2 linked regions of the Lepisosteus oculatus genome follow. The protein of the gene in region 1 purifies or fractionates together with the protein of each later gene. This does not show direct contact. Links are inferred from orthologs where the notes say so. Each region holds a gene or a part of one and is shown in the gene's direction. Other genes may lie near its edges.

Region 1 (10,545 bases):
CGCTCTTAGAGCTATCTAGCGCTAGGTTTTTGGGTAACAAATGCATATACGTTTTTCAGAAAGCCGTCTGTAGATGACCAGACCAGTCCCGAAACAAACAAGACACACGAAATGCTACAGGCATCTTGGGTTTTAAGGAGTACAGCCTGGCTTACCAAATACAAGTGTTTCTAGAACACGCACGTGTTTGTAGCAGCTCGATACCTGCTCGAACTGTAGGAGTTAAGCACGAAGAGGTCGTAAAATTTCAACTGTAAACAAATTACAAGTTTTGGAATGCATAAACTTAATATTTTAATACCTTCGCAGTTTTTATTCTCATGGCGCCTCACTCGATATTACCCTTGGGGCGATGCATTTAATACTATTGTAACGCATACGGCCACCATCGGCTGTGAGAGCCGGCTTACCAGCGCGGTGACGTCAGGCGGCAGCGGCGAGGGCGCATACCCACGTGAACCCCGTAGCGCTACAATACTAAGACATGACGCATGCCAACACGTTAACCATCTGTGACATAAACCTGTGTTTGTAATGTATGTAAAATCACCGTGATTGTAAGATATATGGTTTTTATTTTCTAAGGCACGTTTTCCTTTTCTTTCCCTACCGTGACACGCTGTTGCCAAGCCCATAGCTGTGGGATACCATCGCGACAAGTTATGATAGGGACCCCATTTATATTGCGGCAGTGTATATCACGACTGGCGCCTTGCTTCCATGCCACCCTGGCACCGCTGTCGCAACAAAGGTCTCATATCAGGACATGATATACCCAGACAGGTCGTGTCGCGATATATGGACTTGTGTAGCGACATGGGTTCAACATATCTTGCCAGGGTGTATCCTATTGCAACATATGGACTCCATGTCGTGACATGGGACAGGGCATTTTTGCCAGGGTACGCCATATCGCGATATGAGGGCTCCATGTCGCGACATGGGGCGGGGGGTGTTTTGTCATATCGCGATATGCGGGCTCCATGTCGCGACATGTGGGCGGGGCTTTTTTTCGGGGGTATGTCATATCGCGATATAGGGCCTTTCATGTCGCGACATGGGGTGGGGGCATTTTTGCCAGGGTACGCCATATCGCGATATGCGGGCTCCATGTCGCGACATGGGGCGGGGTGTATTTTTCATATCGCGATATATGGACTCCATGTCGTGACATGGGGCAGGGGCGTTTTGTCGGGGTATGTCCTATCGCGATATATGGACTTAATGTCGCGACTGTGGCACCGTGACAGTGATGGGTATCGCGATGTAATCGTGATGCGAGCACTCTTATCGTGACATGCTATTGGAGTCGTGAACGCGCTGTGAATGCCATGACATTCTTTGTCTGCTATTCAGTTTTGACCTCAGTGCGACTTCTCTTAGATTGATAAGTTATTGGAAACCAATGAATGTCTTACTGTATATCCAGCGTGCTCATAGAGCACACACGGTTAAGCACGACTACAGTATTTGGGACCAAGAAGAACCTCCATCACCTGTGTATCTGCATGTTCTCGGTACTTCCAGGTGGCGCTTTACCCAATCAGAGTGTCGATTCTCACTCTTCACCCAATCGCGGCCCGAGCTGTTCGGGGGTTTAGCCAATCACGGGTCTGAGAGCTGTTCAAGGAAGCAGCGCCAGGTGGATCGGCTTGTTTACTGTCAATGAGAATCTATTTTTAAAATGCTTTACTTATTTGCAAAGTAACTACATCGGCTTGGTTTTTAACGCCTTTATTGATTCACAATGTCCCGTGCTCTTCGAAATAAATACATTTGTATTTGCAATATAACTGTCTCCGCTGCTTTCTGTAATGAATACATCGTATTTGTACAATTTGATCGTGTATTTAAGGTAGGGGAAACACCTCCTGCTTTGTACTTAAAAATGAATAGAGATGTAAAGCCTATGATCATTATATTATTATGCTCGTGCTTCAAATTTTGTTTTTTATTGTTAAATTATATCGATCTTGAAACTAATACCTAAAAATGTGAATATGGGCTCTCGTGTTGTACCAGCGGTAATATGGAAACTGGGGTCTCTTCACCAATGCATGGAGTACACAAGCAATACATTTTCGAGAACATGGTTAAAAATTAAAAGAAAACACCTAACCCAATGAACTAACTCCTCCCTAAATGTAAGACAGTTTATTCGTGTAAAGGCTGCAAAGTCTGGGGTCAACTGATCAAAAGATCACAGCTGAAAGATCTAGTCGTGACTTTGCTGTTTTGTACGTCACGGAGTGACGTCACAGCCAGGAAAAGAAAGCGTGAAATGAGCCATACAGGAGATAGCTGTGTGAATCTGTGGGTTTGCAATAGACCAAAGCAGAGAGTCGGTGATGGGTAATGGATAGGTTTATGTCTAGAAATGGAAGAGTGATGGAAGATATGTTAACTGTATATTTGAGGGACTGGTGGAAGTTGGTGAAGTGATGCAGGAACTGCACTAGCTGGTCATTAGAGCATGAATTATTATTGTTGTTGCTGTTGTTGTTGTTAACAATGCATTTAATTTACATAACACACTACATTACAGCGAACTTCAATATGCTTCACATAAAAGACAAAACTAAAAAGAGAAGTCAATAAACATACCAATAACTAAGGTGGAAAAAGAAAAATGAGTCTGCAGTACTGAGGTTTTAAGGTCTCTTTTAAAAGTAAGTTGCTAGCAGTCAATTAAAACCAGAACCGCCCAGTATTTGTACAGCCTCTTTCCTAGGGCTGCCTTTTTGCTTAACCTGAATTCCTAGCTCTATGTGCACTGTTGCTGTTTATTAGCGCTTCTTGTCTGATATACAGTATGTAGAATAATAATAATAATAATAATAATAATAATAATAATAATAATAATAATAATAATTGCTTACACTTATATAGCGCAGGAAAATTCAGTATCTGGCACAGGATTCAAGCTAACTTCTAACCCCATCCTATTAAAGAGCAGAAACTGCTAAAACAGTTCAATAAACTTGATTAAGAAAGAGCTCAGAAAGAAGCAGACACAGGGATAGTTCTCTCTGTTCCAGGGCTGAAAACAATGTGCTCCTGTGTCACTCAGTCTGTGTCTTATATTGTACCTGTATTTTGTAGTCCTCTATTGTAATTTTACCTTTATTACATCACTATATTGTACTTCTGAAGGTATAGATGAAATTTTGAATCTTCTTTGTACAAATTGGAATTCTTTTTTGTAAATTGCTTTGGGTAAATACGACAGCTAAATTACTGTGATTATCAATAATGGATTTTACTACGTCAATGACATACACTCATGTAAGGAACCTTGATTCTTTTATTTAAATCCGAAAGGATGACAACAAATAAGCTGTATTTAAATGCCATCATATTCTAATACTTTTATGTTGTAATGCTGTATATTAGCGTCTAGACATTGTTTCATTTGACAACAGTACCTCTGCCTTGAATTTACACTGCGTTGCTTTATAGGAGTAAAGAGGAGACAATGACAAGTCGTTTGGCATGAACTTCTGGAACTTTCGTGATCTTTTCTTTAGTGATTCATAGGAGGTCCTGGTGGAAACGCGATACAAGAGAATAGCAATAGAATCATATGATTCGGATGAGTCATAGTCAGGTGACGTTACTCCTTCAGGAGGGGGAAGAGAGGGGGGGGCGAAGGGGGGTATTGCGACATACAATAATTCATAGCAACTTTCACTCTCTTTCGTCATTTTCAGGTAAAGGGGCAAATCAAGGCCTAGGCTCTCATGGTGATGCAGCATTTTATAGTATAGCTTTGTTAACCGATTTATAAGCTTATCAGCATCACATGCTTTTATGCTACCTGATGCAACCTCTTGTTTGTTTCTCTACACAGGACTTTATTATTCTCAATTTAAGGAAGATCCATAAGCAAATAAAAAAGAAAACTAAACCCAACTGCAGGTTGGAAATTATAAACCAGAACTGGCTTCCCGAAGCACAATTCATCAGGTTTTATGGGTCAATCTTAAATCCTCAAATTCTGAACCAGTAAGTTGGATTAAGTTAATTTTCACTACTGTAGCAGGTGAGGTGTTCAGCCGTTATCACCCATTATCAGGCAGATGCCTTTTTCTATAAGGGGCAGAATCTTTGTGTTGCCTATCCCAGGTGCAAGGTGAGACTGTACTGCACGAACCAGTTATCCTAGCCAACAGGCCCTTAGAAGGTAGAAATGGAGAACCTGAAGAACAACAACAGAAAAGGAGCATATATACTCCATAGAGGAGATGCCCCTGTCTGGAATCCAACCTAAGACCCAAAGCAGTAAGAAAAGTGGTCCTAACCACCATGCCACCACAATGTAATTTCATTTTTTGAAATAGAAAACACCAACATTTTGTAGCTCTCAAGGACCACAGTCAGTCATTTCTGACTCGGCATCACCAATTAATTTGCTGCTCATTCGCCGTAACTGTTGCTTGAAAAGCTGCACAGAACAGTTCCATGCGGTGAATGAGCTAATACAGAACCTGACTGACGCAACGTGTTAAACTGATCTGACCGTAAACGTGTTGCACGTCTTCAAAAACCTACGGGGTTAATTACTAGGGCCAGGGTTGTCCACCACCTGGTTACAAACTCAGGACCTGATGGCAGGTTTCTGTGCGGCTTCTTCTCTCTCGCCCTCCAGTACTTGAGTTTGAAACCCGCGGTGAGACAAAGTTGTCGATTCTGCCAGGCCTTGATAAGGCTCCTGCATAGTCTAGGCAAACAGCCGATACTCATAGAAGAGTACATACACACAGCCACGGCTGTTAAAAAGGCTGTTCAATATGTGTTGAACAAAAATGTTCCAAAACACAAGTTTGTGCCAATTTCCAGTGACTCATCTTCAACATGAGAGGGTGGCAGGTTCTGTACCTCGCCAACGCGCAGGAAAGACATTGAGGTGGATCTCTTACTTCATGCTGACTTGCAGATTGCCATCTTGCCTGATAAACAGAGGTTATTAGATAATGTGAAGACGGTCCCCCTAGTCTCTCTCATAGTGAAAATGACTGGTTATGATTTACTTTAAGTCACATTTCTTAAGATAACGAGGTACCTTCAAGTGAAGTTGAACAGGCTTTCTAAAACATTTATGTAGGTGGAAGGAAAATAGGTTTCGTCAGGGATGCCCGCTTTATACTGACTTCTGTACAAACCAGTGTTGTTTCTAATACTGAAATTGATACAATTCTAAAAAAGTATTTCCATTTATAAATTAAAAACATTACTGGCTCTGAATTTTGCTCCCTGAAATTAATATTTCCAGTCTTTTCTGTGTTCCCGCGAAAATCTTGAGTTTAGTTTTTAGAACCACTAGATGATACATAACTAATGTAATTGATAATTCACTCATGTCTTGCTTTTAACTCGTATTCTAACATGTATTTTCATGTATTGCATGTACCTCAGTAGTAGGATCATTTCTTTCTCGTATTACAGTTCCTTTTTTTTATACTGAATATTTTCTGTTTTACAGAAGCTGATATTTCCATTCTGTTTTCCCGCGCTGGGATGTCACTGTAAAAAAGTGCTTTGTCATTCTTCGACCTTCAACAACCCACTTTGAATAGGGCTCCATTCTGTTTACTTTGCTAAAGACTGGCTTGTTAGTAAACGCGAAGAAAAAAAGTGCGTTTTTTTACCAGACAGCTGGATTTCCCCCTATTCTCATAGCAACACCCTTTTAATTTTTTAGGATGCACAACCCCTGAAGAAATGCTGATTGGCTGGGGTACAGCATAAATACTAGCAAGGAGGCGGAACTACAACACAGCAGACTAGAAAGCTGCAGAAGTACAGTAGCTGGTTTATTCAAGTGCGCAATAAGGTTCACGGGTTCTCGTCGGAGCTGGTCAGGTGAAGATCGAAAAGAAGAGGTAACCATGTCGATGACAGTGAAAGCCTATCTCCTTGGGAAGGAGGATATCCACAAGGAGATCCGCAGGTTCGCCGTCGATCAAGAAGTGTCCAGCAGCTTTGAGTACTTAACTCGAAAAGTGGCCGAGGTTTTCCAAAGCCTCAGGAATGCCACTTTCCAGATGTACTATAAAGGTAAGAAACTTTGGGGGAAAAAAACGAGAACTTCAACCTGTTTGATGAGATGTCACGATTAAACTTGCTACTAAGTGCAGCTGTGAATTTGTATAGGTCAGCTGGGAGAAGCAAGCTACTTTGTTACATCACGAGGGCCTTTTGTTTATAATGTAGCCTGATGGCAAAGTGAGTTATGCAAATTGTACATTGTGGGTTGTGCTGTGCAGTCATTGTGACGCACTCACTTTTAGAACTCGCAGAAAATGGCAAGGATATTTATTACAAGATTGTCGGATGTTTCAGTTTGTTGCGTTGACCTTTATCAGTGTTTTATGGACTTATTGTTGGATTGTGTAACAAAATCGCGTTGCGCGTGACATTGGAAGCGGCTTTAACGTCGTTATTTTTAATACGTCAGGTGAAGAGAGAAGGGTTATTAATTACTGTAACCTGAATAATGTGGTACAGATATCTGTGATGGCAAGGGCTATCGCTTAATGAGCTACAGAGAAACAAAATTAACACTTAAAACGGATGTTAATCCTTGGCTACTAAACATTGAATATCGTTCTGTGACTTCATGACGCCGAGATATAGGTTCATTGTATTCTGCAGTCTACTGTACACGCAGTAAGATGGGACTGTCAGTCCTATCCAATTCCCACTGCTTATCAACGTTTTCCTTTGGTAGACTTCCGTGTATTGTCGGTTTATTGTTGTTTTTTTTCCTAATATCTGGAAGAATGGAATTGAGAACGTTCACAAAATGACTTCATCTAAATTCTATCGCTTCCCTCCCGTTAAAGTTTTACAAAACAAAGGTTTTCTGTTTGATATGTTAAGGAATACCCCTTAGCAGCAGTTGATACGAGCCGTATTAAATAACACTCCCATGGTTCGTCAAGACCAATGTCTGATGTGTCAGTTTGGTGATCATGTTCTTAACGCCCTGTTGCCCAATGAAAACAATGCATTATTTAATCCAAATGCGTTACTGAAACTCCTAAGTACAGCAGTAAGGCTCGTGGGAATGTTACCGAGACGTCGAAAACACCTCATTAGTAGAGACTGGAATACTTCAGTTGAGCTTGATTGCAGTTAAGGTAAAACTTTCCATAGCATCTCCTTTTTGTTCCCTGAGTAAATGACTAATTGTCTGTAAATTAAACCCTGCTAACTGACACTTTTTTTCCCCAACAGATGAGGATGGCGACTTGATTGCTTTCTCCTCTGATGATGAACTGATGATGGGACTTGCTTGTATAAAGGACGATACTTTTCGAGTCTTCATTAAAGGCAAGTTGTTTACCCTGGGTGAATCATTTACAGTTCTTAGGGGACCGACTAAATGTGTTTAAACAATGACTTCAAAGTTTGCTCTGTCACAAAACTAAGCCAGTTTTTTTTTTTTTAATATTGAGCAAAATCCATGAACACGAATACTTTTACCACTTGGAGGTAATGTGAAATTTAACGATTGGGGAAGTAGGCAATGTTTATTGAATTAATTTAAAGGTGGTGGCTCCACTCCTAGCTTTTAACTGTTAAATAGACATGTATCCTGTGCCACACTTTTTCTGTGAAACATGCTGCAGTATCCATTTTTAGGGACAGATAATCAGAAATCTCCTGTGCTCATGACCGTGGGTTTTTTTCCCCCCTTCACCCCACAGAGAAGAAGGAGTGCAAGCGGGACTTTCACCCCCATGGATTCCAGGGTCCTGATCGCCCCTTCCCTTTCCCCTTCTCCTTCCAATCCCCTCCCCCTCCCCCCTCCCATAACGCCGTGCACCCCAACGTGACCTGCGACGGCTGCGAGGGCCCAGTGGCTGGGACGCGCTTCAAGTGCACCGTCTGCCCCGACTACGACCTGTGCTCATCCTGCCAGGCCAAGGGGCAGCACAAGGAGCACCCCATGCTTCCCATCTGGGCTCCCCTGCAAAACATGTTTGAAGTAAGACGCCTGGCTGAGCCATGATCGGAACCGAACACTTCTTGGAAACCTTGTTTGTTCTAGATCAACATTATGACGGCTGTTCCTTTACAAAAACATTATCCCTGTTTTTAGACAATGACTATTCAGTCCAGATGACTAGCACAGCTGCATATCCTCTTCTGGGTTTCAAATAGTTCCATTACTTGTTTTAGCAAAATTCAAGGTTTAATTAAGTTTTGTGCTATGATATAACTGCTTTATATGCATTATATGTGCATGTTTCCCCCTTGGTGTGACAGAAGTTGTTTTTTACAGTTCTAAACTATGCCGAACCTTCCTGAAATGTCACTTTTCTACTCTGGTTCTAACTGGATCTGCCTGTATGGCTAAACTGCAAAATTGTCTGAACTGCTTTTTCTTCATAACCTCATATTGCTGTTTTGTATTTGTGAACTGTTTGGAGGGTTTCGTAAAACCTCAATATAATTTGTGTAAAAAAAGAAAATGTACACTCTTAGGCCTGGTTCGGTAGTTTAATCTTTTTTTTTTCCCCCTAGTGGTACCCGCGCGGGAAGTGGATGCGCAAGATGAGACATGGCTTCCCCCACTGCATGTGGGCTGGAGCCCAGAACAGGCCCCAAGCCAGCCAGGCTGGGCCCCAGCCTACGCCCCAGCCTGATCCGCAGAACACCCAGGAAGAAGCAGGTAAGCAGTCCCTAGCCTACAGCTCCTCACATCCTTTTTACCACTCTTCTGCCTTCATGTAAGCTAATGAACAAAAAGTAGCTTTGTCACGGATGTCGGAAAAGGCATGCTGTGGAATGGCCAGAAGAGCAAAAGAGACCCTATGCATAGTGGCAAAACTGGGGTTAGCCCGGGCTCAGGAGGTCAGACGATGTCGGGTAGAAACCTATGCCCTCAGGCTGCTGAGGAAATGACCTATTGGTAGGTGGGTCTCAAGACATCCGAACCCTCAATGCTGAGTGAGGAGGAAAGGGTGACCCGGAAATATATAGCCCCACACAAAGACACACCGGAAGGACAAGCAAAGCACAGGGAAACTAGGAACAGGACACAATAGGAGTGCCCCCTAGCTGTAGAGGGCTTGACAAACTTGCTTAGCTCATGCCTACTTCAAAAATAGACTCGACTTCTCAATCTTCTTATCTTCATATTTCCAAACTTTTTTAACTTTGAACAAGCAAGATTTCATATGGTCTTTAAGCCATGCAGCTTTCTATAAAATGAAGAACCAAAGACTGAATTGTCAGGTCTTAAAAATGGATTTGCTTTAAATCATTGTGGTCTTTCTTTACAGGTCAAACTTCTGTGCACCAGGATAGTGTGGATTATCTGAAAAACATTGGGGAGGGTGTGGCAGCCATGCTGAGTCCACTGGGTAAATCTGTTTTTGTATAAGGAATGTGCTAAATCTAAAAAGAGCACTGCTATGAATGATTACAGCTATGGTCCACTTAACTGATACTACATGACAACAAAGGACATGTCGAATCCTTCTTTTGACCAGTCCAAATGTTCTCTGCAGGCATTGATGTAGACATTGATGTGGAGCACAGAGGATCAAGGACCAAAGTGAACCCAACCCAGCCTGCTTCTGGAGACATGTCCAGTACCCAGGCTGGAAAAATAAGAGAGGACAGCCAGCCGAGTGGTGTTGAACCAATGGACAGTGAGCAGCCAACTGATGGGCAAAGTAACCTGCAAGCCACCAACAGTGGGGCAAAGGTACAGGTTTTATACCATATGCGTCTGTCTCCACCCCAGAAACCTGTTACAGATGTAATGATCATGGTCACGATTCCGATAATGAGACTTCATGCAAAATCCTGCTATTTTTCTTCTTCTGTTGCGGCAGTTTGAATAACCGAGTAGTTTCTTCTACTGATTAGTAATTAATTTACCAATTTAATTTTCACATCCAATAGGGGCAAAAAGAAACAACCAGTGATGAGGAGTGGACCCATCTCTCCCCAAAAGAAGTTGACCCCTCAACAGGGGAGCTGCAGTCCTTCAGGCTGGAGGAGGGATTTGCGGGGCCCAGTCCCCTTAGTGCTTCTGCACAAGGTCCTACTGGTCTGAGAGAGGCAGCCTTGTACCCACATCTTCCCCAAGGTAAATAGCTGGAGTTGGTCATGTGTATGTATCCTCCAACTTAATTCTGGACGTATTTACTACAAAAGCTAAAAACATGCTACATTGAGCTCACTAGTATTAACTGCACTTGGATATAAAGAAATAATTGGATCCATAATATCTACCAACTTTTAAATTATTAATCATTCTTTTAGTTCCATATTGGAGCACTTACAAAAAACCTCTTCAAGCCAGATCTTTGTTTTCATGTACAACTGTTGGGGAATCCTCAACTGCAGCCAAGAGTTAAGACGGTCTTGTTTCTTGTGCAGATGCAGACCCGCGCTTGGTGGAGTCCCTGGCTCAGATGCTGTCCATGGGTTTCACAGATGAAGGTGGATGGCTCACTCGTCTCCTTCACACCAAGAACTTTGACATTGGTGCGGCAATGGATGCCATCCATTTCTCCAAGCCTT
Region 2 (11,463 bases), on another chromosome or scaffold:
TTTATTTTTCATGGATGATCACACAACTACTAATTGTTTATTATTGTGCATGTTTGTAGGCTTTTGAAACCATTGATGTTCTTAGGGTGATTTGCATTGGATACATTTTGAGAGTTTGTCTGGATATCATGGTTTTTAGTAAACAGCTAATGAAAGAGTCCATGTTGCCCTCAGTTTTAGAAGTGAACGATACTGAGCCAGAAAGTGAATCAGACAGTGAATGGGACAATCTGAGAGGAATAGGAAGCAGGCCAACCAGCAGACCTCAAAAAGCCTTCAGTCGAGGCAGTACTGACAACAAGGTGGGTAGGAATTATGGATTTTTTTGTTCCTTCTAGATTTAAATCTACAGCATGTGTAGTTTATCAGTAGTAACAGATCAGTCAAATTTATTTTAATGAGCCTACTGATTATTATGTTTTGTTTAAAGTAAAACACACACTTCTCTGTAAACATCTCTCTGCAGTTTCCTGATATGACATTATTTGGCTCTGTTTTCAATTCAGCTAATGCTGTGATTGTGTTCTTTGTCATGTAGACTGTCTCAAGAGCAGGCAAAGGTCAGTCCCCCGCACTGAGCAGAGCTCTGAGTTCAGAGGTGAGCAGAGAAGAAAACGTACCCAGCGAGCAGGATGATGATGACAATGCCCTGGAAAATAAACCAGCTGACAGCTCTGAAAAGGAGACGGTCAGTGCAGAGGAGGAATGGGACACAGATTTGGAATTAGAAGGTACCACCTCCCTCATATCCAACCCACTGTTGACTTTCTGCTGACTTTACGGCACAAAAATAAAAATAGCTTAAAGGTGGATGCTAGAGTTTAACTGTCCTCCTTTATTAAAACTAATCTGCTTCTGTGAAAACTCGCACATATAAACTTCAAGGAATGCCTTTCACCTGTAAGGTATTTTCAGTGTGTTAAGTAATGTGATCACTACATACAGGACTATGCAATATAGATATGCATCCTGACTATTTACTGTGTGGAGTGAGTTTCACAATAGTAATTACAATCCTTGTTATTTTTTTATGTCATACTGTAAGTGGATGATTAAATAAGTAAACATCACCTGTGCCCATATCGAAGTACTTAAAAGAAGAATGGTACTGCAGTGCTATGATTATAAGTTCAGGTGTTCTTGATTTATTGAAGACATGAAGGAACCTTATGATCCCACTGGACATTCATGTTACAAGGCTGCCTGCAAGGTCTTTGGTGTGGTTCCGGTGTCATACTTCCTGCGTCACATGAATGATACAGAGCTCATAATGATGCATCATGGCCTCGGTCCACAGGTATAGCTGGTGAATCTCTTATAAATCTCTAGGTCTGTTTAATTTATTACTTGCTCTTTTTCTCCGAACAAATACAGTACATATCAGGCTTAAGAAACAGGAACTTACTTTCAAAATGTCCTTTTCTAGAGTGCCAAAGCTCTTGCTGTTCCCTTGGTAACCAACACATCCATCCTCAAGTTGAACCTGAGGGATAATTGGATTGAGGGGCTGGGCGGAGCTGCGATTGCAGAGATGCTGAAAGAAAACTGCTACATCACAGGTTCTGTTCTGGTTGTAAGGGCTCTGCCATCCTGTTCTGTCTCATCAGAAGCGTTTTTTAAATGAAACCTGCTCAGTGTATGAGCCATCAGCAAGAATTACATTGGCATTAACTGGAGAAGGGGGGCTTTAGCTAATCCTTCTCCCCCCAAAATTCTTTCTTTGCCAGAAATCGATTTGTCAGAGAACAAACTGGGAGAGAGAGGTGCCCAAGCCCTTTCCAGTATGCTCCTGGAGAACACCACCTTGGTCACTATCAGCCTCTCTGGGAATGACTTTGATGATCACGCTGCCAAGCACTTAGCTGAAGCCTTGGTGAGCAATCAGAAAGTGGAAAGCATGGTCCTGAGTCACAACATGATGGGAGACGGCGCAGGTACTGCCCGCGACAATGCCATGGGAAAATGAATAGGACAGTAATGTTTCCACATTAGAAGATGTTATTTTTTAACCTTCAGCTTCGTGACTCAAATAATGAGCCCTAGATTACGACTTAATGCTGAAGAACAAGTGTAAGCACCACCTTACTTTCCTTACTTACTGTGCCCTCTGTGGTGATCTGTACACCAGAACCAATGCTCACCTTTTAATTAAGTGTGCTGTAGGTAGTAGCATTAATTGTTGTTGGAAATGACTATGTTTATAACCATATATATATGATTAGTGCACAGGTTAGACAGATTCATTTCTACATGCTCGTTACAAGACAATTTAACATTAAAACATATGTAAACTACAGGAACCTGCAGGAAAGGAAAAGGCAGGCTTTTGTTTCTTAGTAGCACAGTGGATTACTGTCATAATCACATACAGTAGTGAGGGTTTCTGCCACTGCTTTTGGATCACTGCGTGACATGGCATACAAACATCTGTAAAGACTGTTACACAAATTTTACACTGTCCCAGAGCTCAGATGAAACGTGTTCTGTGCAACATTTTAAGACTTGTGAGCAAGAAACAGATGCCATGAAAGCATTATTGTTCTTCCAATAAAAATGTATTGAGAGGACTGAATTGGGAAACAATTAAGCTGCATAGCAACATCATTTAAGAAAGTTGCTTTGCAGATTATTGGACAACATAACAGGCTATCTTTCAGTTTGTTCCTTTTATTTGTTTTTTTTATGTGCTCACTTGTACAAACCACTAATATTATTTTGATTAGATGTTAAATATTATTTATCCCGTTCTTTTTCAAAGAAGATTCTTCAAAATCAACCAGAAACCAAAATGTCAGATGTCACTGGGGAAGTTCATCTGCTGTTTTGTGTTTGTTTCTTCAGGTGAGGCACTGGGCAATGCTATTGCTGAGAACACTGGATTGAAGACCCTCAATCTGAGCTGGAACTGTTTACGGGGAAAGAGCTCAATAGCAGTGGCAAAAGGTTTAGGGGTACTGTCCATTATCTGTTTTAATGCAACTTTCCATTTCTGAAAAAGCTCAGATGAAAATATTTTGGGGAGCGGAAGCATAAGACTACATACTTGTCTTTATATCTTAGTACTTTGTAAAATAAACATATTACATCTAACATAATAGTTTATAAATACACCTTATTTGACTATCATATTTTCATTTTAGGCAAACATATTTCTTCGAAAGCTAGACCTGTCGTACAATGGATTTGGGAAAGATGGAGCTGCAGCTCTCGGTGAAGCTCTTAAGGTGAACAATGTGCTTGAAGATTTGAACATCAGGTACAGTACAGTATGTGAAAGTAGAGTCTGAACTCAGATGAATGCCCACCATCCAATGAAAGTGTATTTCACTGTAAACTTAACTTTTGTCTCCCTCTTTCTGCTGATTTTAGCATAGCATGAAGAAACATGTAAAGTCTTTAAGTACCGACTGACATTATTAACTTACTGAAGAAAACTGTGTGCTTGAAAATGTCTATCCGGTGTAGATGGAAAGTTTTATACCTGTGCAACTCCTAGGAATAAATGCTGTAAATAGGTGTTTTTTCTGGTGAAAATTGAAGCGGACAGGCATGTCTCAGTAGTTGAATTTGAATTTGTTATAAAATACTACAACATGTTTCTATGTTTTAAAGAACGTGTTTCTAAAACAGGTGCCTGAGGGGTCTTGCATCTTTATCACAGCCAGAGCAGCCAATTAAAGAAACAATCTAATTATTTTCTTATTTCAAATCCATTGGATTTTTCCTGAGGTGTTTTACTGTTTATTACTCAGAGCATTCATGTCATTATGTGTGCAATTGCTGATAAAACACCTACGGATCTAGATAAAAGTATTAAAATTACATATTTAATTAATTAGACAGACTGTGCGACACAAGAGCTGGAAAACTACGAAAAGACGACATAATGACACCAAACCCTCCGGGAACTGAAGTTGAAACCCCTGCTTTAAAGATTTTGTCTTGCTCCCGTTTCCAAAGCTATCATTTTCTTGCATGTATCTGTTTTAGTAACAATCAGATCCCTCCTGAAGGTGCAGTGCGCTTTGCCATGGGACTCAAAGAAAACAAGACACTGAAGATCCTTAGTGTAAGATGTGAAATCTCTTACTTTTGAAATAATTCCTACGGTGTCCCCCGTACAGTAGATATGGGCACATAACACACCTGTTATTTTAGCTTGACATATCAAGCCATTTGTATTTTCTTTTTAAATAACCCTCTATACAATTCAGCAACAGTTATAGTTATAGGTACAGTTTTGAAAAGTAAGAATAGACTGACGTTAAGTACATGGGCCCCCTACAGAAATCTTAGATATCTACTTTACCATAAAGATTATTTAGGGATTAAAGGCACATTTCTTTCCCTTTCTCTTTTCTAGATGTCTCGAAATCCAATGCAGAGTGCTGGCTGTTATGGGATACTAAAATCAATGGAAGGGAACCCTGAATCTGCCATCGAGACCCTGGACTTCTCTGTACTACACCTTCGGCTTTAATTTGATTTTAGAATTATTCATATATATTTACTTTTCGTTGATGGCACAACTGTTGCTCTCAGTTACTGTTTTCTTCACGTCCTCATGCAAAACAATACACATCCTACAGAATGTTACGGATAACAGACATATTACATATTAAAATAGTTTGCTGTTATACTATTACTGTCCTTGTTTGAATGGGTGTGTGCATACTAATCAACGTTCTGTGTATATTTTTTCTCAGGACATCATCGTGAACAAGGATTTTGATGAATTGTACAACAAAGTCAAAGAAATGTTTCCGAACCTGCAGGTGAAACACGAAAGAAATGCAGACAGCTTTTCTTTCAAAACATCTAAAGTCCCAGTAAGTTGCTCAGCGAACAGCTTGTTGACGGACTGCAACTACTGTACAACACTCCACCTCGGGGAATATTATAACAGAATATGAATATTAATCTGTACTGCTAAAAACGCATAAAGCAATTTTATTTGTAACAGGGTAAAACAGACCCCCTTCTAGCGCAAGAATGATACTCAGAAGATAAAACCACCTGTCGAATCTATGAAAACGGTATATAATTATAGGTCAATGGTTTTTGTCGAATAAATACAGTCATCAGCCGACAAGGAAAAATTAAAGGTTAATTTCATCCTGAAAAGTAGGAAAAAACCACAATGTTTCGGCTGTTGAGTCTTAGTGTTAGAGTTATAGTTCTATATCTTTCTACTTGGAATTAACCTCCACTTGCTAGTTAGATTTTTTTTGTGTGTGTTCCAACTGCCTGTACAGTCATGCATAGATTTGAGATATATGTAGATGAAATGATAGAAAAATCTGTCTTTTTTAAAATTTTTACATCAAAAACATCCATCCATCCCTGCAATAGAGTATCAGAAAACCGCTTATTCATAACGAGGATCAACCTGTAACCTGTCCCAGAAGAATAGGGTGCAAGGAGGGAAGTTGCAAAAAGATCTGACATAAACAACATACTGTAGAAACTGTCACATCAATGCATAAATTACTGCAAGAAATATGGCTGTATTAAACGATAGCAGCTACAGAATCGAATCAATGGATGATTGCTGGACCTGCAATGAATGAGCAAACAATATCCAACCTCAAGTGCTCCTGTCACCTCTAGAAAGATCCCTTAGGAAAACTGAAGTATCACATAAAAAAGAACAACTTGAAGCTTGAGGATTCTTTTGACTCTGTGGAAGAGGGTGGAAGTGCTCTCATCACTAGAGCAGAGTTTCAGCTGGGACTCAAGGTTAGTAAACGCACAGCGCCTCTGTCATAAACCTGGAATGTGTAACATTATTACCATATAAATTGCCATTGCTCAAAAGCTCATGAGTGTTTTTTGTTTGATGCAGGGGATAGGAACCTGTTTAACCATGGAAGAAGTGCAGCAACTCATGGATGATCTTGATAAGGACAACTGTGGTGAGATTGACTTCAGGTACACTGAAATAATCTTTGTAACACCTTTTAGAGGAGTCTTAGCTGCACACTTTTGAACAAGCATATATTAATATGAAGAAAGCTAATGAGCCTTCTGAAGATACTGATTAGTTAGGATGTGTAGTCTAAAACATTTTTATGTTGTGTAGTATTTGAATGTGTCTGAGAGCCATGTGCTGTCCATATACTGCTATAGTGTACAGTATTAGATAGAGGCAAAAAACAAAACAATATTCTTTTGGTAATACAAATAATCCAGATGTGAGGAAATGAAACTGATTTCTCCTTCCTTTCTGTTTTTCTTGTGTTCTCTGGTTTAGTTTTATAATAGCCCCAGAGTGATGTGAGTTTACAACTGTTTTTGTTTTTCTGTTTTTCAGAGAGTTTAGCACATTGCTGAAGAAAGCTTAACACCGCATACTGTATCTGTCTATTATCGTGGGTACCTTGGACCGCTCTGGCATTTTGCACGAATAATAAAAAGATCACAATGTTGACTGTTTCTCCTTGTCTCCTTGTGTTTGAATCTTCTTTCGTCCCTTCACAAGTGGTGCATGTGTTTGTAACAGATTTAATGTTTTGTCCCCACAAAAAAAGCAACAGAATTGAATAAGTCAATAAGAGCATAAGAAGTGAATAAGTAAATTAAATTATAAATTGTTTCAGATTCATCTGAAAGTGTGAGTTATTTTCAACCTTACACAGGATAATAAAACACTTTCAAGTTCTAATATGAATACTGTATATATTATTCCTCTTTATGATTAGCTTAACGTACATTAGGAAAACACATCTTATTTACTTACTGTAGGTTATTGGGGAAACAGCAGAATGGTTAAGTCTGGGTGCCGAACACAAAAACACAGAGGTGTTGCAGTTTGTTAACAATAGTGCAACAGAAATTATACTGTACATGATGTTTCATATTAACAATGATAAGGTAGAAAAGTAAGCCTAGAGCAGGGTATGTGGTTTTGTTAAAAATAAATTAAGATAATGTAATGGATAATATTATTTGTGGGTGGGACTAGTTAATATTAGAATGACCAACATACATCTAAGTAACATAATTTTCTTAGTTATCCCGTGTATACGACAAATTAAAAAACATAATGCATACTGGCATGATAAGAGAACAGTATTTACATTTAGTAGCAGTACAAAGACTTTTACTAATTAATATACAGTATGATTAAGGACGGAAATAAATACATTCGTGTGCATCATTCACACTGTAAATGTATTAATAATTTGTTTTGTTCATAGAACGTGTTATTTTGATTTTGATTACATAACTTGTTTATTTTTTATTATTGTATATTAAAGACCATAGAGAGAGGTTTATATTACACACAGTGGGAAAAAAACAATAATTATAGGACATTATAAAAAAACAGTTGTTTGTAAGAGCCAGGCATACAGCCATTGGCTTGTTATTTTAGAGTCAATGAATCGATCTCCGTTGCGAAGATATTTTGTTCCTTAGTTATATTCAGGATCACGTCACTTGAACGTGTGCAACCTTTGAGCAGGAACTAAACTCGAGTGATTTGGGTGAATGTGACACACGGATCTACACGTGCGACACATCCAGAAACCACTGCAATTTCAGCCAGTATTTTTCTTTTAAATAAAGCACAGCGTTTTTAAAACACTAGAAGATGGCGGCGACGTGGTTTTTAAAACTGCCCAAACCCCAGCAATTACTGTGTAAGAATACTTTGGGGCTGTTCATCTTTAAAAGGTAAAGCCGAACTAGTTGCAAGGTTTAACAGAGAGCATGGTTTTGTTAAATATATATGTTTATTCTGCTGTTTATAGACTCCTGTCACTGCAGTGTTTTGTGCTTAGAAACGAAGGTGAAAGATGTGCCTGCAGGTGCATTGCAAATGCTCGTGTCCTGACGTTAGACAGGACGTTACACGTTTTCTAAAAGAAAAAAAAAAGAAAATGTATGATATTTTTAATTATGGCAGCTTCTTTGATCGGAAGGGTTCAGGCGCTCCGGTTGTAAAATACAATGAATGATGTTGTTGACCAGTTGTTAACAAAACAAATGGTTTCTGACCGTAATGGAGTCGATTCATTTTTCATTTTCCTATTTAGTAGTTGGTGTTCTAGGAAATAGCACGAAAGCTCACTAAATTACTATTCCGTGCAGATGTGAGGAAATGAAACACATTGAGAAAGGTCTAATGTCTAAGTCAATCGTTTTCCTGGTTCCTGAACTTTGCCCCTCGGGGCAGTAGGCGCTATCACATGACCACTACAGTTGATGTACTGAACAGGGAGTAGCCAGTGCTGAAAAACATCTGAAGTGGGCAATACTCAGCAATCAATTAGACTTATTTGTTGTGAGCTGCTTATTGGAAACATGCCGTCTTGGCAAACATACCTTTGACTGAAGCCTCTGAGACAGGCAAAATCAGAAATCGGTGTTTGTCTTGAAACATTGTTTATCAATATGTTTCTCACCCTACACCCCTTATCCGTCTCCCCATTTAATAGAGGTCTTGCAGACAAAAGCTGGTTCCAGTCTTTGTTTGTGCATAAAGTTGATCCCAGGAAAGATGCCCACTCCAACCTGCTGTCAAAAAAAGAGACCAGCAACCTGTACAAAATACAGTGTGAGTACAGATGACCTCAAATGGTGCTGCTGTTTCTTCAGGTAGTTTTTGAATTTATGCAGAATAATGCCACTGTTAAAATTCTGTAAAGCACTGTGTGCACTGGATTTCTCAATAACAACAACCCAACCATTCATATACAATATACACCCTGCACCCATGCAAACAGACTCTACTACAAACTCTTTGTGACTAAGCAGATTCTTTTCCTTCCTATTTCAGTTCACAATGTGAAACCAGAGTACCTAGACGCCTATAACAACTTATCGTAAGTAGTACATTGTATTTTATATTTTGACTCATTCACGCTTAGTTTAATCACTTCAGAGGATTATGGAGTCACCTTCATGGTGGTGAATGTGTATTTTATACATTTCAGAAGGGTCCACTGTGGTTTAGCTTATGCAGTTAATTTTTTAAAATCCACCAGTAATTAGCAATGACTTCATGATTATTATCAGTATGATTTACTCAGGTATTTCTTGCTCTGATCACACTTTCGGTGATAGAAGGAGTTCGAGTGTCAATTGTGGCATTGTTGTCTGTGGCCTGCAGAGCTGAGGTTCAGAACCGACTGCACTGTGACAAGGACTATCCTTGTGAGATAGTGGGAAGCTGGAACACTTGGTATGGGGAACAAGACCAAGCTGGTAAGTGTTTTCTGTAGCTCATTCAGTACTGCATTGAGCTCATGGCATACGTATTATACAAAAGCGTAGGAGATTTGTCATATGTTCACTATCCATCCATATTTATGGCACTTGACCAAAGTTGTAAAACGGACCCTTTTTTGTAGCTTTCTGCGTGATCAGTATGGTTATAGTAGTTCAGGTGGGTATTAAATGGTTATATGCTGATCTGCTGTTTCTCCTTGAAACAGAATACAAAGACGGGTGAAAAACCCGTGTTTGTATTCTTCAAGTGGTAAGGGTAAGTAATAGCGACCCCTGCTGTTTTCCAGTGGTAGGACAAAGCAATAGTTACCTGTGCTGTTCTGCTGTTGCAGTGCACCTCTGGCGATACTCTGGGGGTTATCCAGCCTTGACTGAATGTTTAAACAAGTTGTGGCAGGATAAGGTATGGAACTGGTTCTTGTTTTTTCCTTCATATTATAATTGATGGTCACTGATATTTGTTTCTGTTTGTCACTGTATGTGGTTCTTCTGTTGTTGGTGTGTTGACTGCATACAAAGGTAAGAGAAAGTTAAATCAAATTAATTGGTGAGGTTCTGGCTAAGCGTGTATATACAGGTACCTCTGTTTTGGTGACTTTACTGGAAACAATTCAGATATTGGAGAAACAGCATCATAAAGTTGAATATTAATAGTTTTAGGTAGTTGTCTTCAGGGATGAATTGATACATAACTACTAAAGATCCCAAGGTGTATAAATAGGCTTGCTCACTGTCACTTCTCTGGAAAGGATTTATAAAAATACATCACACCCCAGAAAATGCACTAAAAACACCAAGTAAACAATATGCAATAGTTATCATACTGTATGAGGTTACATAGTATACATTCTCTCTTCCTGTGGATTAAAGATATTTAGGCAGTCCATGTAGATTTAAAGAATGTCAAGAATCTCTTGTGAATGGAACATTGGTCTTCTAAAGTAACCTTGGTTTTTTTTTTTGTGATTTTGTTTTGCTCCTGTGATGATGCTCGTGTCATGTTTAGAAAGTGTTAAAGAAGTCAAATAGTGAAGTGTATGCATTCTGAATTACTCTGCTGTGCAAAAGTCTTTGGTGTCTTGGATGACAAGAGTTAAAATATGTGATTGTTATGAGCATCAGCAATGTACTGATGCCTTCATTAGTGTTTTCTTCTATGAAAATTACATTGAATGTTATTGAGCACATTGAATGCTTAGTTTAGATGAGAAGAAACCAAGCTTGTCACTTATTTTTCAATTCACATTGATTTTTAAAAAACTCACAGTGGTTCAATTGTAAATGTGAATATCCAATATAAAGTGTTGCAATAGCTATTCCATCATACAGTATCTATCAGTCAAGTCTAATTGATTCATTGTTCCCTATCATTAACGTATTTGTTTTCCACTGTACATCCGAACATACTGTTTGTAGTGCCAAATACAGGTCTATCAGGATAAGCTGGTTAGTTTAAAACAAATTAGCTCAAATATCAGTAGAATTAAGGGTTTGCATTAATAAGATTTTAATAGGATTTTTTGCACACCAATGAATGCACATATTTAATTGTAGAAATTATTTTGGAATAGAACAAGATGTACATGCGTGCTGTACTGTATGAAAAATTCTTACAGCTGGTTCTTGGTTGCTTGTGATATTCCATCTGCTGAATCCCTATAGGAGTACTTGGAGTTCCGGAAGGAGAGGAGTAAAATGCTGATCTCGCGCAGAAACCAGCTGCTTCTGGAGTTCAGCTTCTGGAATGAGCCGCTCTCCAGGGCAGGCCCCAATATCTATGAGCTGCGTACCTACAAACTGAAGGTTGAGTCCCGTCTATTGAGCAGCTTATCACACTGAAAATAGTTTTCTAATCATTCGAGCCCTTGGGAATGCCTATACACACATTCTTTTTTGCAGTTTCTGTAGTTTAATGTTATCGGTATCTTCATTTTATCTTCTAGCCTGGAACAATGATTGAGTGGGGAAATCACTGGTAAGCCCTTTTCTCTTACACATTTACTGCTGCCTTTCATGAACAAGATCCAGAGTGATAACGAAAAATGACTTTCACAGATACAAAAAATATTCTGTTCAAACTCACGACCTAGTCATATGGCTGTACAATATGCAATTTACAGCACCTTTTTACATTCTTTCCCGTCAGTGTTCCTGTATTTTGCCTGACTCGCGCATCTCAAAGTTTCTGCTTTAAACTTCAGAGGAAATCTTTGTTTTCTTTTAATATAA

Evidence for each region. The genes of interacting proteins can lie anywhere in the genome.
Region 2: the proteins of sqstm1 (region 1) and nipsnap1 purify together in Homo sapiens (affinity purification with mass spectrometry; 4 studies listed by BioGRID and IntAct, with this or other methods). This does not show direct contact. The link is inferred for Lepisosteus oculatus from reciprocal best matches to the Homo sapiens genes SQSTM1 and NIPSNAP1.

What each region holds. Positions count from the first base shown.
Region 1 is NC_090706.1:33,992,176-34,002,720, forward strand, and holds the start of sqstm1 (sequestosome-1), read left to right. Parts: upstream 1-5,612; 5' UTR 5,613-5,888; coding exon 5,889-6,057; intron 6,058-7,239; coding exon 7,240-7,335; intron 7,336-7,712; coding exon 7,713-7,993; intron 7,994-8,532; coding exon 8,533-8,680; intron 8,681-9,293; coding exon 9,294-9,374; intron 9,375-9,521; coding exon 9,522-9,721; intron 9,722-9,921; coding exon 9,922-10,108; intron 10,109-10,401; coding exon 10,402-10,545. UniProt on the Homo sapiens protein: Molecular adapter required for selective macroautophagy (aggrephagy) by acting as a bridge between polyubiquitinated proteins and autophagosomes.
Region 2 is NC_090717.1:4,644,083-4,655,545, forward strand, and holds the start of nipsnap1 (protein NipSnap homolog 1), read left to right. Parts: upstream 1-7,388; 5' UTR 7,389-7,594; coding exon 7,595-7,677; intron 7,678-8,441; coding exon 8,442-8,560; intron 8,561-8,782; coding exon 8,783-8,828; intron 8,829-9,115; coding exon 9,116-9,210; intron 9,211-9,566; coding exon 9,567-9,637; intron 9,638-10,896; coding exon 10,897-11,037; intron 11,038-11,177; coding exon 11,178-11,209; intron 11,210-11,463. Other genes in the region: lrrc74b (leucine-rich repeat-containing protein 74B), read left to right, coding at 129-302, 539-731, 1,155-1,297, 1,427-1,559, 1,728-1,934, 2,842-2,951, 3,141-3,256, 3,991-4,069 and 5 more.